Linked DNA regions of Rhinolophus ferrumequinum. The protein of the gene in region 1 interacts with the protein of each later gene in a pairwise test. Links are inferred from orthologs where the notes say so. Each region holds a gene or a part of one and is shown in the gene's direction. Other genes may lie near its edges.

Evidence for each region.
Region 2: the proteins of CBY2 (region 1) and CEP44 interact in binary tests that used the Homo sapiens proteins (3 or more experiments, as listed by UniProt). The two-hybrid records come from large-scale screens. The link is inferred for Rhinolophus ferrumequinum from reciprocal best matches to the Homo sapiens genes CBY2 and CEP44.
Region 3: the proteins of CBY2 (region 1) and SYCE1 interact in binary tests that used the Homo sapiens proteins (3 or more experiments, as listed by UniProt). The two-hybrid records come from large-scale screens. The link is inferred for Rhinolophus ferrumequinum from reciprocal best matches to the Homo sapiens genes CBY2 and SYCE1.
Region 4: the proteins of CBY2 (region 1) and MMAB interact in binary tests that used the Homo sapiens proteins (3 or more experiments, as listed by UniProt). The two-hybrid records come from large-scale screens. The link is inferred for Rhinolophus ferrumequinum from reciprocal best matches to the Homo sapiens genes CBY2 and MMAB.

Annotation. Positions count from the first base shown.
Region 1 is NC_046287.1:5,395,275-5,403,024, reverse strand, and holds the start of CBY2 (protein chibby homolog 2), read left to right. Parts: upstream 1-4,739; coding exon 4,740-4,814; intron 4,815-5,119; coding exon 5,120-5,200; intron 5,201-7,750.
Region 2 is NC_046301.1:32,522,480-32,530,590, reverse strand, and holds the start of CEP44 (centrosomal protein of 44 kDa), read left to right. Parts: upstream 1-4,938; 5' UTR 4,939-5,059; exon of another isoform or gene 5,060-5,160; intron 5,161-8,111. UniProt on the Homo sapiens protein: Centriole-enriched microtubule-binding protein involved in centriole biogenesis. In collaboration with CEP295 and POC1B, is required for the centriole-to-centrosome conversion by ensuring the formation of bona fide centriole wall.
Region 3 is NC_046299.1:31,987-39,742, forward strand, and holds the start of SYCE1 (synaptonemal complex central element protein 1), read left to right. Parts: upstream 1-4,733; 5' UTR 4,734-4,752; coding exon 4,753-4,822; intron 4,823-7,756. UniProt on the Homo sapiens protein: Major component of the transverse central element of synaptonemal complexes (SCS), formed between homologous chromosomes during meiotic prophase. Requires SYCP1 in order to be incorporated into the central element.
Region 4 is NC_046308.1:14,030,115-14,037,828, forward strand, and holds the start of MMAB (corrinoid adenosyltransferase MMAB), read left to right. Parts: upstream 1-4,483; 5' UTR 4,484-4,506; coding exon of another isoform or gene 4,507-4,622; intron 4,623-5,539; 5' UTR 5,540-5,569; coding exon 5,570-5,688; intron 5,689-5,803; coding exon 5,804-5,865; intron 5,866-7,714. Other genes in the region: MVK (mevalonate kinase), read right to left, coding at 484-628, 2,119-2,266, 3,115-3,192. UniProt on the Homo sapiens protein: Converts cob(I)alamin to adenosylcobalamin (adenosylcob(III)alamin), a coenzyme for methylmalonyl-CoA mutase, therefore participates in the final step of the vitamin B12 conversion.

The DNA of each region.
Region 1 (7,750 bases):
TATTCAGAGATTGCGATTTGGTAAGCATTCCATTATCATTAAGGAGAAACTAATGGACAATTAAGCGAAGGGATTACACACTTAACTAATTTGATGACTTTTAAATTTTGCTTCGATTGAAATGTACAGAATCACATAAATCATGATTAGAGTCATGCTAATAAACAAAGCCTTGCCTTTTGCCTGTTGGTTGAGAATGTTGGAGTGGGAGTGGTGTCACTCAGCGACCCCACTCCCACTCCTGCCTGCCTGCGACAACGGGCCAGTATGGTCTCAGAGTGGGGCCAGAGAACACGCAGTCGCCTCTTTTGATTTTTTTCCAAAATAAAAGAGAATTTCTTAGAGACTGAAAGTCTTTTCTGTTGTATGTCTTTTAAAATAAAACTTGAGAGAGGCAGCACTGGTTAATGACATCATGTAAATTTCACATGCATAACGTTATAATTCGATATCTGTGTACTCTATTGTGTGCTCATCACCTGAAGTCTAGTTTTTATCTGTCTCCAAATATTTGATCCCCTTGACCCAATTCACCCTCCCCCATCCCCCTTAGCCTCTGGTAACCACCATTCTGTTGTCTGTATCTACTTGTTTGTTTTCATTTGGTTTGTTACTTTTGTGTTTTTATATTCCACACATCAGTGAAATCATAGTCTTTATAGAGCCTTACTCTTGGATCGAGTAAACAAATGAACTGATTTTAGGAAAATGTCAGAACTATGGTGGTGGGATTTCTAGTGGCTCCTGATTGAGGAGGGAAATTTGTAAGGATGTTTCTAGAGGCCCCCAAGTTTCGATGTTGCTTTTGGGGACCTATCTTGCACCTGGTCTCCTTTCTGACTTCACCAAGAAGCGTTTACCACCCTGGTTATCTCAGGAATCTGAAAGTGCCAACTGCCCTACTTTCTGCACCATCCCCCTCTGTTGGTTCCTTCAACATCCCCACAAATATGGGTGATTCTTCTAGCGTAACAACCATTCACTTCAACAGTGCCCCTGGTAGCTGCTCTTCTATTTACTTTCTTCCTGCTCAGACTTTTCCAGCAGTTGATCTTATTTTTTGCTGGATGGACTCAGCGGCAGCCTCTCTTGCTCTTTCTGGCTGCTGCCTTATGCTTCCTCAGGAGGTGACCCCTGGCCTGTCCCGAAGGCAGCTTGGCTCACAGCCTGGCTGTCCTTGGGTTGGTACTCTGGTTCCAGCATAAAGCTACCCTCTGCCCTAAGCAGCAAAAATAACAAATGTTCCCAAACACATCATATAATTTGCAGATGACAAACATTGTGATAATTTACTACATCCACACAACTTCCCATCCTTTCACCAGTGAGAAGGAGAGAAAGGTCAGAACATACCCCACCATGCCCACGTCTGACTCCTGGACCAAGAGCTGCAGTTCCTGTGACTCCCTGGGGCAGGGCAGGAGGCCCCGTGCTCTCTGATGGGCCCTCCCGCTTGTTGAATGTTTCCCTGTGATTCATCACCAGACAGTTGCAGGTGAGGAAAGCCTGGGGAGTCTGAGATGCATGCTTGCCCTTTCCTTCATCTCTGCTCTACCTGTCTGTTTAGATGAGAAACCCACCAGGCGTGTCCACCTCCGAGCTCTGTGTAGTGCCCTCCAATTGTGGATGCTCACGAAACATGGATGATTGATGATGGCGTTACTCTGAATAATAGCAGACATTTGGGGTGCACTCTCAAGGAAGCTTTTCAGTACCGAGTAATGGATGCGTGTATCCTGTAGAGGAGGAAGGGACCCAGCTAGTGGGAAGATGCCAGTTCCAGGATGGCCCAGCTCAAAGCGCTCCTCCCTTAAAAACAAAAAGCGGATGAATCACACAGCAGGCACACAGACGAGCCCTCCCACCAGCTGTGACATCAAGCCTTTTTAATAGGGCACCAGTGTGTGTGAGTCCGCTGCTTGAGACTGCAAGGCAAAGGGAGCAAGGCAATTTTGTACGAGGGCGCCAACGCAATGATTATTTACTGAGAGCTTGCTAAGTCGTCTCGAATTAGATTTAATTTCTTCATTTTGGAGACGAGGAAACAGCTTCTGAGAGGTGGGGTGACTTGCCCAAGTCACATCGCGTTAAGGACTGAATGCATATGTTGGAGCCCTCGTCCCCAATGTGATGGCATTTGGAGGTTTGGCCTTTGGGAGACAATCATGTTTAGATGAAGGCTTCTGGATGGGATTAGTGTCCTTAGAAAAGACGAACAGAGACCCGAACTCACACTCTCTCTCCACCATGTGAGGACACAGTGAGAAGGTGGCCATCTGCAAGCCAGGAAGTGGGTCTCATCAGGAAACAAGTCTTCTGGCCCTTTGACCTTGGATGTCCAGCCTCCAGAATGGTAAGAAATAAATGTCTTGTGGAAGCCCTCCAGTCTCTGGTAGTTTGTCATAGCATTCGTTTTGTGGTCCTTTGTTTGGGCAGCTCTAGTTCAGCTACCTCCTTCGCGGTTGAGTCTTCCTAGCTCAGCCTCACAGGTGGATGTGCAGGTGTTTCCATGAGATCTGTGTATAAGGGAAAATTGAATTGTGTTTTCAGACAGTACGAGAGTTAACCGCTTAAAGAAACCCGTGGAGAAACAGGAAATGCCAAGTGTTGACAGGATGAGGAAAACTTGGAACCCTTGTGTGTTGCTGGTGGGAACGTTAAACGATGGTGCACTGGCTGTGGAAAACGGTATGGAGGTCCTCAAAAAGTTAAAAATAAAACTACATATGATCCAGCAATCCCTCTTCTGGGTATTTATCCCAAAGAATTCAAAGCAGGTTCTCGAAGAGATATTTACATACCCGTGTTCATGGCAGGATCATTCACAGTAGCCAACAGGTGGAAACACCCCCAAATGTTCATTAGTGGATGAACGGATAAATAAAACGTGGTATATAAATACAAGGGAATACTGTACAGCTTTAAAAAAGGATGCTGTGTCACATGCTCCAATATGGAGTATCTTGTGGCTATGATGCGAAGCCATTAAGCCCGTCACAAAAGGACAAATACTGTATGATTCTACTCAGGAGTCTCTAAAGTAGTCAGAATCATAGAAATCGGAAATAGAAAGGTGGTTGCCAAGGGCTGGGGGAGGTGGGGAGGGGACTTAAGTGTTTAATGGACATAGAAGTTCGGTTTTGCCGGATGAAAAGGTTCTGGAAACCTGTTGCACAGCTTTGTGAAAGTCCTTAAAACTACTGAACTGTATACTTAAAAATGATTAAGATGGTCATTTTTCATGTTATGTGTTTCAACCACAATTAAAAAATAAAATTAAAAAAGGAAACCCTTGGAGAAGTTCCCATTTACAATGAAGAATTCTTTGATAATGTGATTGATCACTTTCTTGGTCTTTTCCACATGTATAGCTTTGAATTACTGTGTATTGGATTTTCTTAAAGCGACACTCGCTTGTATGTGGGCTGTGGGAGAGCCGTTGGGCGCTTAGGTGTCCCTGGGTCTCAGACGCTGGCCTACCACCCTCCCCGGTGTGTGGCATAATAACGTGGCACGGGAGCTCTCTGTCTAAAGAGGCTGAAGACACATGAGAGGGCTCCCACTAACAGCCTCTAGAGGCAAGTGACTGGACAGAATTGAGGCAGGGGGCTGCGCTGCCCCCTTCGCAAAGCCCGGATGTTAGCACTGTGGTCTTGATGCAGTTTCTACATGAGGTAAAATAAGAATATATATTTGGCCTTTGTTTGTAGTTCCTGACACGGAGCTCCTAAAACCTTTACCACTTCCTGAGTGATAGATGTATCTTTTATTATTCACACGGAGCCCCTCTGGAGCACACCTGAGTTTATGCCAACGAGGTGATTCTTGGTGGGGCCCCCTTGGCAGCTTTAGGATGTGGGCTGGTTGCCAGAGGAATCAACTACGTGCTTAGAGGGTTGGAACTTTCAGTCTGCACCCCTGCACGTCTGCGCTGGAAATGTTCAATCACCAAAGACCACTGATTTAATCAAGCACAACCATGTAATGAAAACTACATTAAAAAGCCCTGAACAATGGTTTGGAGAGCTTCTGGGTTGGTGGGAGGATGGCGTGCCAAGAAGATATGGAAGCTCTGTGTTCTCCCACCCCATCCAATATCTTGCCCTAAGCATCTCTTCCACTTGGCTGTTCCTTTATAATAAAACTGCAGGTGTAAGTAAAGTGTTTTTTGAGTTCTGTGAGCTATTCTATCAAGTTATCAAACCCGAGGAGGGCGTTATGAGAACCCCTGATACAGCCAGGTAGAAGTACCAGTGGCCCAGGACTTGTGACAGGCATCTGAAGCGGGGCCGGTCTTGTGGGACTGAGCCGTTCACATATGGGACCCAACACCAACTCCAGGGCGATTGTGTTAAGGTTGAGCTGAATTGCAAGATGTCCAACTGGTGTCAAAGAATTGGAGAATTGGTTGTGTCAAAAAACGTCTCACACTGAATTTCTTCTCTTGGTCTGGAGTGAGTTCAGTTTGCATTTTTTCCTTCTTAAGTGATCCAACTCCAAGGAGAAGATGCCATCTCTGGAGAGAAGATAGGGATCTCAGCCCAGCCTGGCAGAGGAGATGTGAATAGCAGTCAAGATGACCAAACAGGAAGCTAGTGTTAGGGCTACTGTGTGTCACACTGACCTGGACCAGCCATGTCACACCAAGGTAAGCTCTTCCTGACCATCAGAGGCCTCATTCCCGCCTGAGATGCTCAGAGAGAGACCATGAGCCCTGAACACTGCCATATTGTTTTGTGATGTCACCTCTGGAATGTTCTGAGTGTTTTGGTGACCAACTTCTGCACAGGACCTATACCTGGCACCTAACGTTGGTATGACTTTTTGCTTGAGACAGAAATAAGAATCTTAGAAAAGGTAATAATAGGTGTAAGTATGTCTGCTCCAAAGGCTTTCGGAAGGCTCTGAAACCGGTTATAATACCTGTCTTAACTTATGTTCAGACATCGCTACAGCCTCTTGTCAGACACGATCTTCCCGTTCTTTGAGACTCCGATTTTCATGATGTACATAATTGACGAGGGGATAAGTGAGTCGGAAGTCCTCTGTTTTTCAGATGAGCAGTTGTGGCCCGGAGGAAGGGCTGGGGAGCAGATGTCTTATTTTCTTTTTTCCACAGCTCTCAAGGCCACATTGTAGAAGAAAAAGAGATACCAGATCTGAAAGCCTAGAAATTCCAATCAATGTGGTTCTACCTCAGGTAGGGATAATCACAGAAGAATGTAATCTACTCGTTTTAGCCACAATAACCCTCTTCTTTCAAAACTCGAGCAAAAGATGTTGTTGAACGAGCAGAGTCCTCAGGACCTCAATTCTAGTTGTGGGGCAGCTGCCAACCAGCTCTGTGCCTGGCAGAGGACACTTAGCCACTCTGGGCCTTGGGTCCCTCATCCCTCGAATGAGGAGAGTGAGTTAGGTGGTCTGGTAAGACCATCCAGCCCTAACACATGAAGTTTCTATGACACTCTGAAATACGCCAATCATCTCGAAATTAGATCTTCTGGTAGTTGTGCAATCACGCTGGATTTCTAGAGGAGAATTACAACTGGCCTTGGAATCAAATGCATATGACTGAATCCATGAGGAGAAAACCTAATACAGACCAAGGAGTACAGACAGGGCCATTTGGAGGTGTCAGAGAATTAAGGCCAGCTGTATACCAAATATACAGAGCGTAAGGGGGTGGGCACGAGGGATTCAGAACGGAGGCCAATGAATGGATGCAGTGTTGACAGGTGGAGATTCTCAGGTCTCCCCCACTGAGCCCTGGTGGGGTTCTCCTGATTGCATTGTTTCTACCGCTGCTATGTCACAAAGGGGGCAGCCTTGCTTCTCCAGAGTCACCTAAGGCCCAGTTGGAAGACCATGGCACTGCAACCAAAAAGGGTGAAATGTAGAGTGGAGGAGTCCAGTGCAGAGGTAACTATGTGAAAGCTCTGTCCGGGGACGTGTAGGGACAGGATTGATCACCTAAAGCTCTCTCTTTCTTAAGGATTTTCAGAAGGACACGATTAGAAAGAAAACCTCCAGCATTCTTTCTATAGGTGGAGGTAATTGTAACAATCTAGGCAACTGTGTTCAGCAGGAGGAAAAAATATAGGACACAGAGCATTCTGGCTATTTGTTTTCGCATATCCTTATGACGCTGTAATGAACAGACACTTCTCTGTTTCAGCTCCTAAAGCTTAGAACATACGCTCACTTTCTCCTGACCATCAGGATGGCTTGCCCGCAGGGTTTCTGCCGCTGTAGGAGCCCTGGCTGAGGTCCGATTCTTTCCACATAAAACACGTCTGTAATTCCATTGTCCACTACTCTCCCTATGGTTGGGTCGTTCTCAGCCCAGAGAAGTCAATCTTTGCTTTGCTAAGGGACTGGGAGAGGGTGTCAACCCGAGGATGGGTTGGGGTGGGGATGGGAAGAGGGTATGAAGCAATGGTCACGTGATGGAGGGATCTGGAAGTCTTCCATCTACACCTAGTGCAGCTCCCTGCCTCCTCCCAGAAACAGCCCCTGCAGGAGAGCAAGGAGCAGAACTGGGGAGTGGTTTAAGGAGCTTCGAGCGTGTTCTGGGGCCTGTACTGCAGGTCCTGGTGCAGCTGCTGGGGTCTAGGAGGGCACGGGATGAGAGGATACCTGCTGCCTAGGCACGTGTGCCCCACGTGGGCAGATGTGGCCTCACGGGTGCATCTGCCACCGGGACACAAGTCATGCAGCAGGTTTCAGACACCAGCCAGGATGCTTTGGGCAGGGGCGCTGGGGGAGTGGTGTGGGTGTCTATAAGTTTAGATTATGAGAACAGCGTCACGACCAGGGCTTGGGGGAAAGGACTGATGTGGTTGATGAGGGAAGCAGGACTATTGGTTGAACACTGCTTTCATCATGTGTCGGGCCATGCAAGTGCGAGGTGGACACTGTAAGTACGGGAACTGGGAACCCGGGAACCCCACTGGTAATGGCAGAGCTGGAGTTGGGGGCTTGAACCCAGGCCAACACCCACTCTCTCTGTTATATCGGAAGATGGGCATATGCCACGTGGCCGGGCCAGGTCAGGTCTTAGTCCTCTGCTTCTCTTGCTTTTAGGAGATAGCCCTTCCTCTCCCTGCATCTTAACTGCGTGCCCGGAGCTCCCTGCATGTGTCTGCCACATACTGCTTTACTCTGGGACGAGTCCCTCTGTTTCAGAAGGGAATTGCCTCAGCAGCTCTGTGACTTCAGAAAGTGCCGCTGGCCTCCTAGCTCCCAATCCGGCCAGGCATTGGGGCTTCTCAATTACATTGCGAATGCCTGTGACTCACTGTTCCTTATCTCCCTTAGGTCTTTCCAGGTCTTATTGATTTCCAGTTTTTCTTCCTCACATTAAATATTTGTGTTTTCTGATCTATTTCCCTCCAGCGCATTCACTTGCAAGCCATCGATGTTATTTCCTGTCCCAGCTAGCTGCCCTCTTGGTTCCTTTTGTACACAATGATTGAGTTCTCACAGGCATTTGCATTTCCCTCCCTGGTGAGCACTGTGTGTGCATTGCAGGTGTTGTTTAAGGCTAGATCACTAATGAAGGGTCACACCAGATCAGAATGAGCTCTGGAGGCCCCCTCCAGGCTCCCTCATGCCCCCAGTTGCCTTTCCTCAATCCCCTTTGTTTGGGCTTGTTCTTCAGAAGCTATGGAACCGGCTGACAACACCCATATCTCTGCAAATTTGAATGACCTGTTAGGAGGAAGATTTCATGAAATTCTGTGTTAAACAA
Region 2 (8,111 bases), on another chromosome or scaffold:
GTAGGGAATTAAAAAAAAAAAAAGCAAAGGAAAGGAAAGGAATTAAAAGAAAAAAACCTGATAACCAATCACACCTCTAAAATTGAAAGGCAACAATTGTAGAGAAATGAAGGAAGGGTAAATCCACAAGGAGGTCTTTCTAAGGAGAAAAGGGAAATAGCTAAGTACAAAGAGGTCACAGGGTACATTAAACACATAAAAAAAAAAAAACCCACTCATTAAATTTAAAGATCTGGTCCTGCAAGAGCAGTTTTTGTTACTAAAAGGCATACCATTTGTACTTTTTTTTTAATTCACAAAGATTTACAATATTACTTTGTTTTCTGGAAGTTTTTTCCTATTCTTTAATTTAAACAAATGTAAAAATTAAGATGTGTCATTTAAATGTGACCAAAATGTTCAGAATTCTGGGCCTATTTAATTTAATTTATTTAATTTCTTCAGTTTCTTTTGCAAGAAATGTTCCAGTCTGTTTTAACTCTTCAATAAAAAATTTATCATACTTCTCACCAGCATTATTTTTAACTACACTGGTTCTTACTTAACTGCACTATTTATTCAGCCTAATTATAATCAGCAGCTGCCACGGCAGCATATCCCAACTCACCTCCTTGGGACACACTATACTCCATGCACACTAACCACAATGGCCATTAAATGAGAGTTGCGGAATTCAAAAACAAAACAAAACAAAAACTGTAATTCTCACTGAATTGCTTTTATACACATAAAACAAGATATTAAAATATAATAAATATCAAGGGCAGGGCAGCTCAAAATAGGAGGAAAAGCATAAATGAGATAAGAAAACATACAATAATGAAAAGAGACCTACACAAAATATGGATTTGATTCAGGCTCCTACTTTAACTAGTTGTGAGTATTGGTCAAACCACTTAAATTTTGAAGTCTCGGTTTCCTCACCTGTAACATAAGGGTTTTGAAGTTGATCTCTAAGGTCTCCTTTAAAATTCTATGAAAATAAAACGAGAAACAATTTTTAAAATGAAAGTAAAATGAAGAGGTGCTAGAGATCGATGGATGTAGGGGGGATGTGTGTGTGTGTATTTAACACGTGTCCTTTCCTTCTCTCTTTTTCCCCATGTTCGTTACTTCTATAAATCACTACTCAGTATGAGCAGATAGCGGCTCTCCAAGCAAGGCTCACTTGCCAAAATCTTGTTTCTTCTTTCAAATAGCTTATGAAATCCTATGCAATCTATTCTTGAAGAACACAAACTGCTGATCACAGAGCTAAACTCCCTAAACCTGCTGTCTAAACTTCAAACCACAAATATCTTTTCTTGTTTCTACACCACAAAAGTACTTGCCCCGAATATAAACTTATTCAAGGCAGGACAGTTTAGTTTTATTGTAGAATCTATGTCATAAATTTGTCAGAGTAACAAAGCGATGAGAAAAAAATAAAGATATAGGGAACATAAATTTCTAGAAGTAAATGTATTTCATTAAAATTGTTTTAAAATATTTAGCAAAATAATTCCATGAAAAACATCATGAGTTAAGATATATATTTCATAGACTTTCAGTATTAATGACTTTGATGCATTGTCACAGGCCAGCTAAGGAATTAGCCTTAGTTTCTAAATTTGAATCAAGATGGAGGAAAAAAATAGATAGTTGCACATAGCAGTTGGTTAAGCAATGAACTATAAAATCATAAATTTGAATGACTAATTTCAATGTATTGTGATCAAAGAAAAGATCATCTCTTGGCAATTCAATGTTTTAATCAACACAAAAACACAATAAACATAAAGCATTCCTTATTAAACTGATCGTATATAATAAATTACAATGCATGTTTTAGCTTATCTAGAAGTTATTATCCAAAGATATTTTGTGGATGGAAGTATTTCAACTGTGTTGTTTTCGTAAGCATCTGTTTAAAATTTTGCAGATATCTAAGGGCCCAAAACAACTATAAATGAAGTATGTTAAGCTAATATGGAACCACAATTTAAAAGCCAAATTTACATTCTGAGAATTGACACAATCAGGCTGGTATTAAGCCTCTGATGTGTAAAAAACAAACTTGAATATTTTGCTAACAGATAAGGATTTACAACATCTTTCAAACCTGGAAACAGGCAATTTTACAGTGGGTCACAGCCAAATAGCGTCACTCACACACACACATACACACATACACACACACACACACACACACACACACACCCTCCCCCCAAAGTCTATACCTTTAATTTCTGATAAACTTACATGGTTCACTGACAAAAGCTGTGCTGGTAATGTGTATCCAGGTAATGCTGAAAAAGGTGGTACCTGCCACCTAGTAATGTTCAAAAACAGACATCCAAGACACATTTCTATTCTAAGATACACCTCACCCATCCCTATTTGATCTCATATCAACATACAGACTGCCACTGACCTGCATTCTTTCTATACTAGAAGGCTTTCCTCTACTCTTTCCTAACTTCTTTCCTCCTTAAGAGCTATCTTTGCATGTTTGTTTTGATACAATTTCAACCATATAAAATGACAATGGGTAAGGAATACACAATCTCCAGCTGTGATACGAGTATGTTCTGCTCACATAGACCCTAAAACACAAACATTCCTCTCACACACATCATTCCCTCAGGCAAAGTTTCTCAAGCAAAATAATAAGCCTTTCTTCAGATAATTAGATGGAAAAAAAAAACCTTTCCCGGGAGAGAGAGAGGCTTGAACAAGTTTGTTTATTTCTTTACAGTTTAGCATTTCTCTTTGTCTGGCTGCATTTGTCTTGACTGCTTTTTTGCTCAGTTTTCCTACCTATTAACTCCTAAAAGTTATCAGCCAGGGTATCTTTGTTAGCCTCTAAGATGGCTCCCAAAGATCCTTGCATATGGGATTTATGCCCTTGTGTTATCCTCTCTATGATTTTGGGTTGGACTTACCAACTCACTTCTAACAAATACAATATGGCAGTAGTGATGGAATACCACTTCTCAGATTGAGTTACAAAAGACCATACAGGGTTTTGGGTGCTCTCTTTTGGATTGCTCACCCCAAGGGAAGGCAGCTGCTATATTGTGAGGCAGCCCTATGGGGAAATCCATGAAGTGGAGAAGCTACGCCTGCCAACACCAGGTGAATGCATTTGAAATTGGATCCTTCTACCTCTCAGTGGAGTCTTCAGGTGAGATGTGAAGAGCCCCCAACCTGCAGCTTGACCATCAGTCAGAGGCACTCTGCTAAGTTGTGCCCGAATTTCTGACCCACAGAAATGTTGAGATAATATTTATTATTTTAAGATGCTAAACTTTGGGACAATTTGTTACTCAGCAATAGATAACTAATACAATATCTCATCAGACAAATTGTCAAGTTAACTGGATAAAAATGGGAAGCTTTCTACGCAACCTGGAAAATAGAATAAAATTTCTTCTTCGTTCTGTTCAATTTCGTAAACCATTTTCTTGGAGTGTGGGGAACCCTTCTACCTCAGAAATATGGTTAACAAACTCCAAACATTAAATGAAGAAAAGCTGAAATGGAAAACATAAATTAGCTTCAACTTGCAGTAATAAAGTTGAAGATATGATATATTGATTTGGAATGAAACACGTAGGATCCTTGAAAATAAAAATTCCATTTGTTAAAACAAGTAGACTCAATTATTAAATTACTAAATATATAAAGAACCTAAAAATAAAATAACAACAAAAAACTTAAATGACTGAGGATTAGGATTCATTTACGTAATTTCATACAATTAGTAATATTTAATTCCGTATCCACCATGTAAAAATACTAGAGCCCAGTCACAGAGAAACAAAGACAGAACAAATTACGAATTTGCCAAATTTATAACCAAAGTTTGACGACTGAAGCAACTGGCAATCCATCATGACCTTAACTGTATGTAAAGAACTGAAATCCATCGTGATCATAACTGAATGTAATGAACAACAACAAAAAAAACCCTCTACTTGAAAAGCAACACTTAGGCTAGAAGTAAGTCATCATTGCCGATTCTCGGCTTTATTTCAGAATGAAGCCGGGTCACTGCTTTTTGGGACGTGGGGTCCCAAACTGACCTGTACCCCAATGGCCTAGAAACACAAGGAACACACCTACTCCCGCCTCCTGACACCGATTCCTCATTCTAATAAGCCATCACCGCTGTCACTCAGGATGCTTTGCACTGTCATTGGCCCTAAAGTCTTGCTGGTGGGCAAGTTTCTGCCAACTGGCAAGCACCGGTTGTCTATTTCCAAGGAGAAAAGTAGGAGTGTACAGGGAAAAGAGGGAAGAGTTCTGAAATATTTCGCCGGACGCTCTTACCTGAACGACCTGCGATCCCCACCGCCGCCGCGACGAATCGGCCTCCGGGCGGGGGCTTTTAGCCAAAAAGAAAATGGCTCAGCCGGGAACTGGTGCCCAGGCCATGGATAAGTCGGTTTCAAACTTCACTTGTTCACGCCGGTGGAGCTGACAGCGGCGAGAATCCCTGAAGCAGCACTGGCGCCCTCCGAAGTCAGGGTACCTCAAAGGTGCAGCAGCCAGAGCTGCCGACTGTCGGAGTTTTGACGTTTCCTATTGTTGCCGGAAGTGACGTTCGGTATCTGAGCCTTAAAGAAAGAGCATTTTTATCCCTGTTGTTTACGATTCGCTATAGATTCCCAGTTTCTCACTTGGCAGCCCTAGCCACTCTGAGCATCAAAATTAGGCAAACTTCTAATCTGCAGCTTGACATCGAACTTGCCATCGAGAAGGGTCTTAGCCGAGTCAGTGTCCTCAGGAGTCTGGACGAATGCGGTGTGGAATCCGCAGCGAGGAATCGTGAAGCTCTGGGGAGCCGGCAGCTTTGACGAGCTTGCCGCGGTGCGTGGCGGGCTTCCACCCGCTGCTCCAAATACAAACCGTCGGCGCGAGAATCGCGCGGGGGCGCAGGCGTCGGGCCGCAGGAACTAGTTGCTGGAGGCTGGGCTCCTGTGGCCTCCTCTGGTTGCATATGCTACCTCCCCATCTCCCAGTTGTGTGGGGCCAGAGGCGTTCGGAGCCTGCTTCTGTGCTCGCCGGCTGCTGGGTGAGCCCGGGAGAGCTGCATCTTAGACTGGGCTGGGGTCTCCGTACCGAGACCCCGGGCGGGAGCTAAGGACCAGGTCTGCCTTTTCATCCTTTTAAATCAAGTGGAGGGAGGGGTGCCCTAGATATGGCTTGCCTATATACCCAACTGGTACATCCTTTTGTAACAACGAAGTAGGAAGAATTGTGGCAGCTCATCCTCCTTGATTAGGTTGTGATTTATGGTTGGGAAATTATAGACTGATTCCTCCTATGGGATCCTCTGAGCTGAGGAGAGATTCAGTTTCTCGGAAATATTGACTAGAAGGGAGAGATGAAAGTAGTGGATGTTTTCGTTTCTTGCATTTCCCTGGCGTTTCAGTATTTCTCCACTTTCCTAAAACTATTGATTTTTCCCTCATTATGAAAAAAAAATCAATCTTGACATTTTAATTCTGCAGTTATAGCTACACAAGACTTTTTCTAAAATTATCCACAAACCTTTTGACAGTTTTATGTGAACACAGTCCTACTGAACTCTGTACTTGTCCCTTATTCCCTTTGTTTTCTCCCCTAATTTTCTCAATGTTTTTCCTTTCCTAGACCTTTCTCCCTATCTCTTATAGCAGTATTTCCCAAATATCTTTTGCTGAAATTTTCATAAACGTAACTTTTCCTGATTTCTACTCCTCTCTTTATTTTCCATATAGTTTTAGATAATATCAAGAGTTATGAGCTTTGTCACAGACTCTTAGTCATCAACCACAGTAATGGTTACAGTCAGTGTAGTGGCTGGCTTCATTTTGAACAAAAATCACTTTTGAGTTCAATGGCATTTCTTTGGGAGGCATCATTTAATGACCTCTAACAGCGATGAAATTGAGCTAGATTAAAAATCTTAAACTGCGATTGTATACCATTTTCACAACATGATGGGTAATGAATTAAGGTGGGCACAGCTGACGTGTAGGGAGCGCTCTCTGGAGGAAGCAATATTGAGATCCTAATGATTAAATCCGTGCGACAAGCTGAGTAATATCTCCTTTCTTTTAATTTCCTTTGATAAGAGTTATAAAGTGAAAATTTTAATTGTTTAAGGTAACAAGTTACTTTTCATCTCTGAAACTGTTAACATGTGCATAAGCCATAGATTGTCTTCTTTTAATATCTTAATTTTAGTGTTTTTCATTTTTATAATAGACTTAGTTGTTAAAGCCTTTCATGAAAAATGTAGAACAGTAGGTGTAATTTTTTTCTATGATACTCACTTTTTTTATCCTTTATTTGTTCTGTCTTGGTTTATCACTTATCTCCTTCACCTACAGATCCAAGCTGTACTTGTGTATTACTCTTCTTCAAAATATTTATTCTACTCATACTGAAGAGTATGTGTCCCAGGGACATACTTTGTTGTCAGAAATTCCATTACCAGAGGCAGAAATAATATGAGATGTTGATATATGTTCTAGGACTTCAGAGAAAGGAAAGATGAAAAGATACATAAAGTATTAAAATTACATGTAGGGGAAAGATGGAATATACGACTGGAATGATTAAAGGAAATCTGTAGGAAGAGATACAATCTATATTAAAGTTATAGAATGTCTCAGTGGGAAAAGTACCCTAGAAAAATTGTATTAAGTTAGGTGGGTCTGGAACTTAAAACAAGCTTAGACCTGCTATACTAGCCAATGACAATACCTAAGAATATATATATTATATTTTGCGGTTACAGCCACATAAGTTCTCACTTCATCTTTCCCAGGAAAGGAAAGGCTGATATGGGAAGTCATCTCTTACTGCTTCCATATGTCCATCTATTCCCCAGTCATCCTAAACGATGTTAAATAAAGTTTACCTTTTTGGACAGTATTTTGTATAATGTGATTTTAGGATTACTTCCTTTTTTTCCTAGTTATCTCCCATTTGACAGTACCTGAAATTCCCTGTGCCTAAAAATGTAAACATGTAGTTGAAGTAATTGAAAGGCTGAAAAATACTGACTAAACCCATGCATGAGTGTGTATAAGCGTATATTCAATAACCTGCTCTTTACCATGTTGATAAAGGAGAGGACACTTGGAACAGGAAGATACTGTGTTCCCAAAGATGGGGAAAGGGTACAGAATTGGATGGCTAGGGACTTATCTAGAAAACTTACTAAATATAGGATTTTTTAAATTGCTAGCCTTATTACCTCTAGTTATGTACAGATAACAGAGGTGTGTAAGGAGATGATTTGTATCCTGGGCAACTGCTGGAAAGTTCAGGAGAGGGAAAAGATCATACTAATTCTACTTCACCTGATTTATGAATTGTTTTGTTTTTAATGTCAGTTACTTAATTTTAAAGGAGCCTCATTCCCAGAGGTTTCATTACTCAAAGTATATTATTTTCCTTTTATAAAGTGTCTATGAACAGTTACAAATAGATATTTTAAAGTGTGTTATTGATCTTTGCCTTACTGGTTGACTAGAAGTCTTTCATCTCTTAATTCTTAAGTATTTGTTTATGTATTTATTTATTGTATTAACCTCCTTAGGGAATAACCTTTTTTGAGAATTTAACAAAAGCACTATCCCGTGCAATAAAAAGTCATTTAAAAATATAATTCCATGGTATTACTTTCTTTGGGATTTAAAACAATGAACCATTTTATTTAAAATCTCAAATATTTTTTGTGTCTGTTGGTGCACACACATACACATTCTGTTATGTGTATTCTTTGGAGTTGTGTTTCTATCTCATAGACCCTATGTATGTCAGCTTTAGTAGATATCACCAGTAAATTTTCCAAAGTAATTGTACTAATTTACCCTTTCACAGCATTGTGTGTGTCGGATCTTCTACAGCCTCACATTTTCTATCTACTTTGTCATTTGCTAATAATTAATGAGATTGAGTATCTTTGCACATGTTTTCTTCTCTGTAAAATTCCTATTCAAGCCTTTCTCATTTTTCTGTTGAGTTGTCTTTCATTTTCTTATTGCTTTGTAGGAATTTCTTTACATACTCTAGCTATGAATCTTTTTGTTGGTTATATATATTGACAGCATCATCTTCCACTCAATGGC
Region 3 (7,756 bases), on another chromosome or scaffold:
TGGGATATCTCGGGGTATCCTTGGCTGACTGCACTGTGTTCCCAGGTCTTCCACATAAGCTCGTAGATCCCCAAGGACTGGAGTTCCCACACCAGGCCAGACCTCTGGACCTGAGGGTGGCACCAGCGTTGGACAAGATACCTTATGCCAGGGAAAAGCTGAGGGACTCTACCCCAACCCACCAGACAGGTCCAGCTACCACAGCTGTGCAGGGGGGAGGCTGTTCCAGCAAAGCTGCCCCAGGAGTCTGGTGTTCAGCTCCCCCGGCAAATGCTGCACCTGGAGTGGAGTCCCCAAGGCCCCTTCAACCTCAGTGCCCAGGCTAGAGACTGGGATCCCACCACAGCCTGCCTCCCCAGCTCTCCCTGGGGGCTGCAGTATGCCCCATGCAGGCCTCCCTGTGGTCTTTCCATACCCAGGCTTTCAGCTCTCAGACCTGGGTTCCTTTTGGTCTGGTCCTCCTGGGCTGCCTCTCTTACATGCAAAATAAATCTTTGGTTTGAACCGCACTCTCCCAGATGTGGTGACTTACAGAGGCTCTCTAAGCACACTGGGAGTTCAAAAATGGCCCTGGGGAAGGTCGGGAGCCTGGCAGGGAGGGTGACATAAGGCAGCATAAGTAAGAGCCAAGCTAGAAGGCAGTTAATTCAGGTGTGCCAAGCCCAGTGCCAGGTTTCACCTCCAGGACTCTACATTCCAGCAGGCAGCCTCCAGGGCACAGATGACTGTACCTGGGGCATAGCCCTGGGTCTGACACCTTGGCTCAGAAGAAGACTTTCGAATGAAGAGCCTTTCATGACCTTTACTCAGGTGTTATTCCCTAGATGCACACAAGATGACAGCAAAGAATACCTTTTCCAGGTGACAAACAGGTGTCATTCTTAAACCTCACACAAGATGGCAGCAGAGAAGAGCGTTTGCTTGCTCATTATGCAAATCCAGGCCCCTGGGACTGAGCTCACTAAGAAATAAATCCAGTTCCAGGCCCTTCACAGGCCTCATCTCACCCACTGCTCCCATTTTCCAGATGCAGCAGAGACGATTACTATCTCCATTTCACAGATAGTTAAAATGAAGACTGATTCTAACACACACAGTTCAGAGTCCAGAACCGAGGCTGACATGGGCCCACATGGGCCAGCTTGCACACATGGGGTTCTGGACAGAGTGATCCAAATAGTCCTTGCAGTGTTGGGTGGAATCTCGGTCATTGTATTTGAAGAAAAGCAGATAACCTCATGGTCCCGCTTGCCATGCACTCACCTAGGCTGGTTTTGGAGTGGGACCAGGGCAGGCAGCTGGGGATGGGGACAGGTGGGGAGGGAGGTGGTGGCCTGGCCTTTCAGGGGAGGACAAGCAGCACCAGATCCCTGTGACAACGACTCCCCCAAAGCTGAGCGATGACTGTGCTCGGGCCTTTTAAAATCTCTTCCTCCTCAGCCCACGGCACAGCTCTGCTTCTCCCCCATATTCCCTTCCTCTGAGGTCACATCTGACAAGAGATTCCTGGCTGCTCAGAATGGAGTCTGGGAAAACAGTGCAGAGTCAGCCAAGGACACCCCAAGAGATCCCAAATCCATAGGCCATACACACAGTCATCAACTGTGGGCTGGCAGCAGCTCAGCACCCCACACCTTACATTATCCATCTATTTCTGTCTCTGACCTTCTCCTTCAATCTCTGTCAACATCCGTCTTTGTCTGATTTGATTCAAGATATTCATGAAACATCTGCTCTTGTCACTACCCTACAGTGACTCTTACAAGCCCCCAACGGACCTTACCTCATCCCTAGCTCAGGAAGCCTTAGCTACCCATGTTTCCTATCTTCCTACCTCTCCTGCATGTGGGGTCTCGGACTCTCCTGTGTGCAGGGTTCCCGTGTGTATGTATTAAATCTGCTTATATTCTCTTGCTAATCTGTCTCATGTCTATTTGATTATCAGATCAGCCAGAAGAAGCTTGAGGGTAGAGGAAAGTCTCTTCCTCCCCCACCTAAACAAGTAATCAGATATCTAATAAAAGGTGAAATTTGGGAGTATATCTACATCACTGCATCATGCAATAAGATTCAACAATTTAAATTACCTTATTCTCAGGACTGAGTGATTAGATCAATGAAATATGGGACAATCTACCAATTTAACTTCTGGATGTGAAACTTTTATTACAGTTTCAAAGGCGGGAAGAAGAGGACCAAAAGTTTTGCCTTTGGACACATTGACTTTAAGCTGATTGTTAAGAAACAAGACTAATAAAGAACCTTTGACCCTCCGCCTTTCCTGCCTAAGAGATTCAGATGGAGACCTGGTTTAGGAGGAGAACCTAGGCATAAACTCCTTAGCACAAGGCGGGAAGACACCCAGTGGAGACTGCTAAGGACCACAGATGCCTCCCTGGCAGGTCAGAGGAGAGGCCTAGGGCTGTCCTGAGACCTGACTATCTCCTGCTGCCCATTCGGATGGGACGAAGGATCCAGCCAGTCCTAGGAGGGCCCCACCAGCCCTTAGAAAGGCTGCACCTGGAGGCTGGCAGGTCGCTGTACCCAGTCCTGTGTAAATCCACACGTGTCTACTGAGTGCCCTCGTGTGTCATCACTGAGCTAGAATCTGGGGCTGCCCGGACATAGTGGAGACCCCACCAACCCTTCTGCAGTGGGAAGGAGGGTGGGGAACCTGCTAGACTGAGGTTGAGTTGGATTTGAAACAGTGACCAGAGTCACATTTCATTCTTCTATTAGCAGAACCCAGGACCGGGGAGCAGACAACTAATGGTCCATTCAACTAGACTCATGTGTGACATTGGGTACGTCCTGCCCTTCCTGGAAACCTCAGAGAGATGAAATGTGGAGGGGGAAGTGGGCCGGTGAGGCTTAAACCAAACCCTAACCCCGGCCCCATAACTTTAAACCTCTACCCCTAAATCCAAACAACCCTAACTCTGGGCCCTAGATGCTTGATACTGACCCTTAAACTCTAAACCCTGACCCTGACTGTGGCCCTAGCATTGACACTGATTCTTCACCCTCACTTTCACGATATCCCTAGCACACTAACCCTAACTCTACCACTATCCCTTACTGCAGTCTGTATCACAGGACTGGTTCTGGATTTGAGGGTCTTTGAAACTTCGGTGTGCTTATTTCCTGCTTAGGTCAGTTCATTTCCAGAAGAGCCACCATAGTCGGCAAGAGATGGTCTACTCTGCTGTGGTTTGGTCAGTAAGCCTGGCTTGGACTGCTAGGTCTTATGTGAGTGGCTGTGACATCAGGATGGTGAAAGCAAGCCAAGGATGTTTCAGCCACTAATCCTGTCTCCGAATCCTAACGATGAAAGGAGACTCTGAATCTGGCCTCTGACACCACTTCGCACTGACCCTTCCCCTGGCCCCAACTCAGACCCTTACTTTGACCCTTAATCCTAACACTGACTTTTTTCATAACATTATCTATATCATGGGAGGCATTGATTTGTAGAAGGCATATTAGCCTTGAGGTGACAATTCAAGCTTTGACTATTTGCAAGGGAGTCTTGGTAGAGGTGACGTTTGTAAAGGCTTGCGGTGAGTTTAAGCCTGTTTGTTTTGAGGAAGGCTGCTGGCTAGAGCAGAGTGAGTGAGGGGAAGCCCAGGCAGGTTGGCCATTGTCGGGCTGGAAAGAGGATCAAATGAAATAATCTTCCACCATGACCAGAATACGAACTGTCGCACAGGAAGCACCCATTAAATACATGTTCATTCTTGTTTATTATAAGTACTGCCAGTGTCCAGCAACAGAAAACTGAAGACTTGGCTCGTAGAGCAGGGCTCTGCACACGCAGTGCTCAAAACTGCTCCTTGTGGTTGGAATGTCTCAGAACTGGCTTTGTGTGCAGTGAACGGGCTGGACACTTCATCTGCACCACCTGCACCCAGATCCACCCGCCTGGGGCTGCCCCGGGCACTGTCTCCTCAGAAACCGGGATTCCTGGAGGCAGTGAGCCCGGCGACGGGGTAGGTGAGCAGAAGCCCATTTGAGCCTCGCGTCCACCTCGGGGCTCCACCTGCACAGCCCCGGGTGACCACCGTGCTGCATGGGCGGGGAAGGATCCTTCATCCACTACCAGCGGGGCATGCCTGCACCCCCTGCCCTCCCTGCAGAACCCCCCCCTCAGGCCACGCCTCCAGTGGGGACGTGTCCACGGGGAGACAGGGCCAGACTCGGGATCAAGCTCGGAGGGACGAGGGTCCCCGTCTACTCTTGCACTCTCCTCTGCATCCAACCAAGAAGATCCACCAAGATTAGTCAGGTGGGCTGACAACACACTTGGTCTTGCTCCAGAATGCCAGCCCGGAGTCGTCGCTGGCACGGGAAATAACTGATGTGTGCAGTGAGTAATAGAGGCAGAGATGGGAATCGAACTCGGCTCTCAAACGCACCTCAAAGTTGCACTTTTTGCAATGCCAGAGACGTCGAGTCAGGGTGGCCCTTCCAGAAGCCTGTATACTGTGCAGATCAGACTGTTCAACAGGCCGACGCAAGCCCGGAAGTAGGCACGCGGCCCTCGCTTCCTGTGCCCTGACTTTGGGTTACGGCAGCTTTAAGCATGCGCACTGGCGCTTGTCCAACCGTTACCTCCGCGCCTGCTCCGGAGGAATGCGGCGCACAGAGCACTGCACTGCGCAGGCGTGCGGGAGGACGCCCCGCCCCCGGCACGGGTTTAGTCCAATCCCAGCGGAGGAGCCCAACGCCAGTGCGTCAGCCGGTTGAGAGGAAATGGCGGCGAGGCCGGGGCCTTCGAGCTCGGAGCCCTCGGGAACCACGGACCGGGGAGAAAAGGCTGGAGGTAATCTGGGGCCCGGCGAGGGCCTGCTTCGGAACCGGAACCGGGCTGGTGTCAGGCCGGGGCGGGGCAGGGAGTGCGCGGGCGGCCTCTGTCTCCGTCAGAACGGTAGTGAGGAAAAAGGACCGTCGCCTTCTGAGGGAAAGTCGACTGTTCCCTCGAGTGGGGTCCTTACCCACATCCGCCTCCGACGTGTAACTCACGCCGTATTTGCCATGTTTGCTTCCCCTGCTTTCTGCTCAGACAGCTTAAAATTGTCACAGAACATCCTTTCGACCTGAATCTCCTCAAGCGTCTCTGAAACACGAAAGGCACGTTTTCCTGGGTCTGCCACACCTGAGGGAACGAATAAGTCCCCATTGTCCTCATCTCACACCTCTGAACTTCCCTGTTCTGACCAGTGGATTGTTTCCCCCCAAAACCAGACCGACTCCTCACACCGACCTGTTGAGGGATGGCTCCCACCTCCCCAAGCAAGGGGGGGACGTGCAGTTTATTTTAATTGTTTAAAAGTTCCCAATTACAGCCCAAAGAGGAAAAAAATTCTGTCCTAGCCATACCCACCCCTGTAAGGATTTGCTCGTGGATGTTTCAGGGGGGTTTTCTAACGCAGGCAAGTGGAGAGAATTGTACGAGGAACTCCTGTGTACCTGTCCCCGCGCTTGTTTTTGGTCCATCTGTCCGTCTTGATAAAGTGCTGCAATCAGCGGAGCCTCGGTAGTTCTCACAGTTCCGGGCTTCGTCTGCCGCCCTCGCTCTCCTCGCTGCCCTCACGTGGGGAAAGGGTGAGGGAGCTCAGTGCAGCCTCTTTGATGCGGGCACTGAGCCCATTCGTCAGGCTCCACCCTCGGCCTCGGCCCCCCACCTCCTAATCCCGTCACAGGGGTGAGGATTTCAACATGTGAATGGGGGGCTGAAAGGATTCACTCTGTAGCAACCAAGTGACACCATGGAGACAAGGACTTTCCCAGAGTGAATTGATAGGAAGATTAATAGGTAAAGGCTTTGCAGTAGCCCGTCTTGCAGAATTGTTTAGCATTTAAATTGCTTTTTCCTTTTTCAGTCACCTTCCTGGGGGATCACGGAAAACACAGCGATGCATGGACAGAGTACTCACTGGAGCCAGGATGGTGGTGGGAAAACACGGGGAGGGAATGGCCAGATCCGCATACACCCATTCACACAGGGAAACACACGTACAGTGGATTTATAACAGGAAGGAAAATAATTAAAATTCAGGCAAATCAATTTTTAAATTATCAGCTCTCTATACTGATAACAGCATGGTATGCAAAAAGGATATTTTTATGAAAGAAGCAAGATGGAAAAATTATATCTAGAGCACTGTATAGGTTGCAGAGAAAGTTCTCTGAAGGCTACTTTACTAACTGATGATTGAAGAAGGGATTTGGATTTTTTGAGGGGAAGGCATAAGTGAAGGAACATTTTTAATCTTATTGTTGGATTTTTCTAATAGGACTATAGTTACTATTTGTGGAACTTTAAAATTTAAAAGGAGGGCACATTTGTTAACTGTCATTAGAGAATCAGAGGTTAATATCTATTGTAATGTTCTGAGTTTTAATTGTTGTACTGCAGTTACTACATAGGAGAGTATCCTTGTACCTCAGAAGTTCACCTGGGGTATTATAGGGTAATGAAGCATTGTGTCTGCAACTCATTCTCAAGGGTTAGGAATATTAGCAAATGGGGAATCTGGGTGAAGGATATATAGGAGCTGTATGTCCTGTTTTTGCAACTGTTAAGTAAATTTGAAATTATTTCAAAAAGTCAAAAGTAGGGGGGCTTACACTATACAGGCTGTTTTGTGCCCTAGCTTTCTTGTTAATGAGATACAAGTTGGCTCATTTTACAGATATTTACTACTGTCCCGCTGTATGCCTTACCTTATGACAAGCACTAGATATGCAATAGGGAATCAAAACAGAGGTACAGGTCACTGGTCTGTTAATAATACTGGGGGGAAAAGTGGTTACCCCAACAAACTGTAAAAGTCATTTTTGACTCACCCAGGGAAATCTATTAACTTTTAAAGGATGCAACCTTATGCAGAAATGTACATGGTGAAAAGTAAACCTCTCCTGTCTTTCCAACCCCAGTCTCCAGAGGTAACTACTGTTGAAAATTTTTTGTGATTCTGGCAGGAAATAATCTAGACATGATATGCATATATTTGTAGACTGACAGGTATATCTTTCATCTCTTTTTGTAGCCATGTCGGATTCTGTACTACACCAGTTTACACTTTCTTTCCTTTTAAGCTATCTAGGATCTTTTTCCAGGTTAGTACATGTGTATTGACCCCCTTTTCACTGGCTACATAGTATTCTGTTACAGGGATGAATCATAAGTTCTCTACTGATGGGCATTGAGGTTGTTTGAGCATTCAGATTGTTTCACGCTTTTACAAAAATGACGGTGACATTGGTTAATAACATAACTTTCAAATATACAATTCTACAGTACATTATTTGTATATTGCATTCTGTGCTCACCACCCAAAGTCTAGTCTTCCTTCCTTCACCATATATTTGACCCCCTTTACCCTCTTTATCTTCTTCCCACCCCCTCCCCCTCCAGTCACCACCATATTGTTGTCTATGAGTTTGTTTATTTTGTTATTTTGTTTGTTGCTTTCTGTTTAATATCGCACATATAGGTGAAATCATACGGTTTTCAACTTTTCTGTATGACTTATTTTGCTTTGCCTGATACTCAAGATCCATCCATATTATCGCAAATGGCAATATTTCATTTCTTCTTATGGCTGAATCGTATTCCATTGTGTACCACATCTTATTTATCCAATCATCCATCAAAGGATACTTTGGTTGTTTCCATGTCTTGGCCACCATGAATAATGTTGCAGTGATCAAGGGGTATAGAGGTACACATATCTTTACAAATAAATGTTTT
Region 4 (7,714 bases), on another chromosome or scaffold:
GGGAGGATTGGAAAACTCCTGGAGGATTAGAAATATTATACAGTTGACTTCTTGAGCAACTTGGGTACGGACATGGCATGGGAGAAGCCACACGGTGGATCCAATCCAAGGATGGAATCTGGCTTGGGTTCTACTGAACTGAAGAGGGCAGAGGAGGCAATGTGGGGTTACGAATGCCAGCGTGCGGGTGAAAGTGGACTGAGCTGACCCCCGGCTCCACCACTTCCTAACTAGCTGCATGGCCTTCAGTGACTCTCTGAGTCTCAGTTTCTCCCTACAAAAAATGCGGACAGTGCCTCTCTCATCGGGCTGTTGTGAATATTATAAGCAGACCATATGTAACGTATCTGTCACGGTGCCTGGCACATGGTGGGACAGCCAATGGCTGTTGTCCCACCTTGTGAAACCTGGAAGGGAGCACGTGCGTTCTCCTGGAGCCAAAACTAGAGAAACCAGGACTCCTTCCCCAGACCGCACACACACCTCTGCTTCCGGCAGATGGACAGGTACAGGTAAAGGAAGGCCAGCACGGCCAGGTGTGTGTGGTCGGCACAGTCTTCACGGACGCCCGCCACCTCCTTCAGCTTCTCCATTTGCTCTGGGGTGATCACTGTGACGTCCCCTTGCTCTGTCACACAAGCACACACAGATGGTTGAGGACCTCTCAGGTGTTTTATAGACAACAGAATGCAAAGAACGGAGCAGCCATGGGAATCTGGATGGGCAAGGATTTGTGGTCCGAGCACCACAACCTGTCAGTGCACTTAAGGTTTTGGAGGCAGGTAGACGGGTTTGGGTCCTAACTGTGTCCCCGCCTGGCTTTGTGGCCTTGAGCATGTGACTTAACCGCTCTAAACCTCAGTTTCTCTCCTTGATAAATAGGGACAAGACTGTCATGAAGATAAAGTAAAATAAATCCTTAACACATCTCTGGGAACGCAGTAAGTGCTTAATTAATACTAGTTTAAAAACACACATATACACAAATGAATGCTACCGTAGCTCAATCAAAAGCCTGGCTTTGACTTGCATCATACATACTCCATCTCCCTACAGTATTTGGGAGTGGCTGGTTGTGGACTGATTTCTTATGGGGGACAGGGAACAGTTAGGGATAAACCCCTGGAAGAGTCCCACTTGCCCCATGCTGACTGAGAAACACCATTCCAAACAAGGAGGCATTGGTCCGGAGAGGAAACAGCAAATGAGAACAGAACACACGCTCCAGTTCTAATGCAGGTGGGGACTCCGCTGATTAAAAAACCTTGCCTGCGTAGGAGTGGACACGACATTCCCAAAGCTATCAAAAATGAGCACGGAGGTCTTTATGTATGAAAGGCACTTTCAATATACTGGAGAAGAAAAAGAGACCCACCCATGTCTGACGAGGTTACATGGCCCGTTCCAATTTTAGTCAAAAAACAAGATCTCTCCCTATCTCAATCTATCTACAGATAATAATCCGGCAGGATTAACACCAAAATGCTTAAGAGCTGTCAAGCGGGTGGGGACTGGCAGGTGGTAATAAGAAGTGCTTTGGTTTTTTTTTTTTTTTACTTGCAATGTTCCAGTATTGACTGTATTTTCCAACAACAAGCATAAATTACTTTTATTTTAAATGATTTTTAATTGCACAAAAACTCAATACATTCCCCTTGTGAAAATAACACCACAGAAGGAAGGCTCCCTTTGTCCACTCCTGACCCCTGGGAGACCCCCAGAGGTAACTCACCACTCAACAGTGTCAGCTGGACGTGTACCTTTCCAGCCATCTTCTATGCATTGACATACATACTGACACTTAATCTGTGCCATTCCTCCTCATAGCATTCCTGCTGTTGTGCATCTCGTGTTCTTTCACTCAACAGTAAGCCTCAATAATCTGTTTACAACAGCCCACAAAGACCTAGTGCATCATTTTACTCTTTGAAATTAAAAAATACGTAAATAAATAAATCAGTGAAGCTACTTGTACACGGTCCGGAGAGAAAACACCCCCAGAGTGGCTGGCCTCTTGCACCCTCAGGACAGCTTGGAATACCTAGCCAGCCATTATCTTTCCCCCTCCGTTCAGGGCCCACGCTCTTCCCATACCTGGTTCCTCCTCCCTGCACTTACCCAGAAAGCTCGTGTCCAGTCGCTGAAGGCTGGCCACATCCCATGTTTGCTTGATGCCAATGTTTGGTAAGTTGAGGCCCACTTTCCCACCGTTGTGGGGTTGAAGCCGGAGGAATGTTCTCAAGTTCAAGGCCACAGCCAGTGCTACCTACAGAACATAGGGCAAAAGCAATAAGCCTGAGGGTGAGTGGCAACAAGTACGACTCCTGTCTTAGGGAAAAGGGGCCAAGGTCACTGTGCTAGCACAAAGGCCACTTGGACCCATGCCTTTGGCAGACCAACCTTGGCATACTTTCCCACTAAGCCTCCGCACTACCACTACCAATCAAGAGTTAGTATCTACTTACATTTACTTTTCCTACGCAAAACTTCAGAGGTTCCCAATACCAAGGACTAGCTTCCCCATAATCACCATGTTTTCAAAGATATATATAAGTTAAGAACATAAAGAATGACAGAGATGAGGAATGGGAAAAGCACGAGCTTTGGGTTCAGACAGACTTAGGTTTACTACTAGCTCTAGCAAGGTGTAAGGGACCTTGGTCAGGTCAGCAATCCTCTTCTAAGGCTCAACCACCACATCGGTAAATCAGCATTAAAAGTTGAACCCCAGAGGGTAGTTGTACGAGTGAAATGAGATGATGCACGTTTCAGACTCCTTTGCTGAATCCTACTCATCTTCCCAATTTCTAAATGCTGAAAGACGCCGAATTCAGTCCTCAAACCTCTTTTCTTCTCCACCGAAGCTCACTTACCAGGTGATCTCATTCCACTCGTGGGGCCTAACCTATCACCCTTTTTGCCCTCTTATTGAGTGGGCGAGAGAAGCCTTTCAGTGGGCATAACTCCTGTCTTTCCGATGCCTGGCTGGGGAGAAACTGACCTCCCCTCTGATCTATTCCCAGGCTATGCCTCAAGGCTTTCTTTTGTCTTCTTTTAAGATTAGGAACAGGGAGGAGTGGTGTCCAATCCTTGAAGGCTCTGGGGGCCTTTTACCTTGCCGTGGACCACAGCATGCTCTCCATGAAGGATGACTTTCCCTGGAGCGGACACCATCAGGGCTTCTGACAACATGGCTCCTGGGACTCCTGAAAGCGAAAGTCAGAGGGAGGATGGAGGGTCCCCAGATCTTAAAGATCTTAGAAAGTACTTAGTCCAAGCTCATCGTTAGAACAAAAAAGGCAGCTACCTCTTAGCACTTGCTACATGCTCAAAAGGCAGCGCAGTGCAGTAGTTATTACAGTTAACTAGACACATCAGAATGATCTGGGTTCAAACCCCAGCTCTTCTACTCCCCGGTGATGTCCTCTTAACTAATTCACTGAAATGGCTATGAACCTGTTTTCTCACATGTTATACGGGGACAATAACTGTACTTGCCTCAATAGGTTTAGGTAAGTTAAGTTAAATAATGCAAGGGAAACACTTAGTGTCTAGCACATCATAATCACTCGATTACTGATAGCTGCTTATTACTGGCTCTGTTCTTGGTTCCAGCTTTCATTACTACGACTATGAAAGGGAGAGATTTAAGTGAAATAGTGGACCAAAAAAGAACTTTCTCCTGGACATTGAGGCTATTTCCAATGTGTCACAATTATAAACAGGTTGCAGAAAACAGCTATTACACCTCTTTCTGCACATGTAAAGGAGGATCTCTACAACAGAGTCCTAGAAAGTCACTTGCTGGGACCACGGGTGTGCGCGTTTTAGATTTTTATAAATAATGCAAAATTACCCTCCATTTAAGGCTTTATGTGCATTAATTACCTGAGTATAACAAGAACTGAACTTCACTATGAGTTAAGTACTATCGTGATCCCCGTTTCTCAGCAGGGAAACCTATTGCTTGCCGGAAGCTCAAAATCAAGTCAGATTCGAAGTCACCGATCCCTCACCTCAGAATGGATTCTCAGAGTTGGGGAAACTAAGCCAGAGAAGCCAGTCGCCCATCCTAGGGTCGTCCTGAGTCTTAGCTAGGACCTCGCGCCACCCGACCCCGCGACCACGGCCTCTCACCTGCCGCCACCGCAGACCCTAAGCACCGGAGACCGAGCGGCTCCAGGACTCCATCTCTGAGCGCCCCGGGGTGGGGAGGAAACCTTTCCTTTCTCCCAGCCAATCAGAGCGCGCGATCCGGAAGTCCCTTTACCAATTGGCTTGAACATTGGCCAATAGGTGTAGCTAACCAAGTCGTCACGGGTTTCCCCGCCCAGCTCCTTCCGTGAACCAATAGGAAATAAGTTCCTGGGAGTGTCCCGCCCTGGGCCGAGAGCCACAGACCAATGGAAAATGGTGGCTGACGAGTGGTGCGGCTGGTGGTAGGTGGAGTCACCCCGCGACCTGTACTGGAGCCCGGTGGGGTCAACGCCGACAACCGCCTGGCTCATGGCTGTGTGGGGCCTGGGAGGCCGCCTTGGCCTTCGCGGTTGCCTCGGCTCCCGCAGGCTACCTTGTCCCCGTTTCCAGAGCCGCGGGGCCCCGGGCGTGGAAGACGGGGACGGGTGAGTGCCCGGCTGGGAAGGTAACTCGGACACCTGCCATGAATTGTGGTGTTGTCGCCATAGTTACGTCACACTGCTGTGAGGTTACCACGGCACCGCCAGGTGACAGCCTCTCTTAGTCCTGACGTCACTATGGCAGTGTGGGCACCGTGGGAGCCAGAGACCAAGATTTCATTGCACATGTCGGATCGAAGCTCAGCTGTCATCCACAGGGCGGGGAATGAACCATGTGGGCCAAAAGGGCAGCTTGCCTGGCCTCACAGTGGTGGTGGTAGGGGCAATTCCGATTTTGACCTATCCCCAAAGCAGTTTATACTTTCAGACACAGAGATACACCACATAATCTAAAGATGGTTGTCATCGTAGACCTTGAAACTTGCACCCCATTCCCAGACCTCAGAACCTGTAAAGTACCATGAATTCATAATGGCGTCATATATTTCATAGATCCAGTAATTTAACATTTGAATAACTTCGTAATGTCACATTTTCATGTTGAAGCCTGTATTAAAGGTGTTATGTTGCTATTTGAAAATGCCAATTCTCGAACCTTGTTTTGGCAATTCTTTATTACTGAGTATACTTGAAGTTTCATAGAATGGAAGTAGCCCAGTTTTCTTTTCCTGACTTGGTGGGGTAGAAGATAAGCGTTTGGGTAAGGCAGAAGCAACAGTTTGGGGTCTGGAGTAAGATGGTCTTGGGCAGGAATCCCAGCCCTCCCTCTTCCTCCCTGGGTGACCTAGGAAGGAGAGTCCCATCCTGTGAACTACAGCCTCCTCACCAGTAAGATGAAGGTCATAGATAGTGTGTGTCCTTGGGGCTGTGAGAAGATTCCAGGGGTAATTTCAGGACATAATGCCGGTAATCCACTTAGCACAGTGCAGGGACTACGGAAAGTGATCAGTAAATTCTTTCAGCGAATATTTATTGAGCTTCTGCGTTGAGTGATGGACTACATCAGCGACTCCGCAGACATGGATGTGGGAAGGACACAGAGCTTGCCCACAAAGGGCTTAAAGTTAAGAGAGATGGAGGGGAAAGATGGCAACAAGAGATGGAAGCTGAGGTGGGTAGGTGCTGCGTCTGAAGCTATGAGCAGCAAGCTGGGACCCATGGGAGGAGGTGCCCCACTGTGTACGCCATCCCCGTTCACCACCTCTTCCTGTCTGTTTTCTCATTAGGCCACAGCCTTCCTTGAAGACACCCAAGATCCCCAAGATTTACACCAAAACAGGAGACAAAGGTAGGGTGGGGACCAGTGAAAAATGCAAAGAGAGATGTGGCAGACTTCATTTTAAAGTTCTTCCCAATTCTTTGCAGCCATTAAAAAGTATATGGCCGATCTCAGTATACATGACCAAACTGTGTGATAGGAAAGATGCCCAAAATGTAGTAAGTAATCAAAGCAAGTTGCAGAGCAATCCAAATACCCAAATCATTTGGATAAAAGTGTGTGTGTGTGTGTGTGTGTGTGTGTGTGTGTGTGTGTGTGTGTATTCAGGTATGCATCGAACAGCCTAAAAGGTTACACCTTGGTCTGTTACCTGGGAGAGAGATTGAGTTGTGGGGGAGAGGAATGGACAGAAGTGCTTTCTTTGTTTACTGTAAATACTTCTATTATTTTTTTTTTGACTGAGCATTGCTTTGAGAATATAAAAAAAATACCAGAGCATAATATGGTCCAGAAAAATGTAAGATGCAAAATATCAGTTTGATACCATTTTCTCAAGTTTAAAATGTGCTGATCACTGGGATACTCATATATTGATTTTTGGATATACGAGTACAGCAGGTCCTCAAAGAACGTTGTTTTCTTCAACATCATTTCATTATAATGTTGATGAGATGCAGCAGGAACTTAAGTCTTGTTTAAATCAATTAGCCTGTGGTAAAATTGGTTTTGTTCATTTTGCTCAAAGTTGCAGTTTCCAAGAACCTTTCAATGATGTTAAATGAAGACTTACTGTATACTTATATAGCAGAAGTATAAAAACATGCATAGGATGTACTCAATGCCATTTAACTATGCACTTAAAATGGTTGAACGTGGTAAATTTGATGTTATGTATTATATACCACGTTTTCTCGAAAATAAGACCTAGCCAGACCATCAGCTCTAATGTATCTTTCAAAGCAAAAATTAATACAAGAACCAGTATTATATGATGTTATATTATAAGACCCGGTCTTATATTAAAATAAGAACCGGTATTATATTATATTATATTATATTATATTATATTATATTATATTATATGACCCGGTCTTATGTTAAAATAAGACTGGGTCTTATATTAATTTTTGCTCCAAAAGATGCATTGGAGCTGATGGTCCAGCTAGGTCTTATTTTCGGGGAAACATGGTATATTACCGCAATAAAACGAAAAAGTATGCATAGGTATGACAAACAGAAGGTGGTGTTCATGCCCTCCAGCCAAAGAACTCCAGGGTCAATCTAGTCAAAGTCGGATCAGTTAGCTCATTACACCTAGGGAGATGGCATGCCATGGGAGCTATGGGGCAGCTCAATAAGAGGAAGCTAGAAAGGCCTGGGCTTGTTGTAGGTGATTTGAAGAGAGTCCAAGGAAGTGGGGCTCTCTCTGGATTAGGTGATGTCAGAAGCAGGGATAATTCTGTAATTGGGTATCTTAATTATTTTATTTAGAAGGGGAGAAGGACAGATGGGCCCTAAAGGTATACAGTGCATCAGGTGTAATTGACAAAGAAACAGCAGTCACTCACATTAGCCAAGAAAGGGGGACATTGGTCATTTTATAATGTTCTGTGCTCAGACGTGTTTAGGAGCGTTTCCATTTTGATCTTGATCTGTCACAATCATAGAGTGGTCCATCTGGTGGTGTTCTGTGAAATCGTTTGCGTTCAACAGGAGAGCACCCCACCTGTGAGTGCCAGGCCAGCACCTGGCAGCACCAAAGCCTGTCTGATAGCACCAGGCCAGCCTGACTGTCCAGAAGGTTTTCTCTTTCTCAGTGGTTGGGGGACAAAGATGGGAAATGTGACCGAGGTAGTGATACAGAGCACTTTGATTTTATGTGAAATGTAAGGTATACGTAATATGTACATGTGTGTTT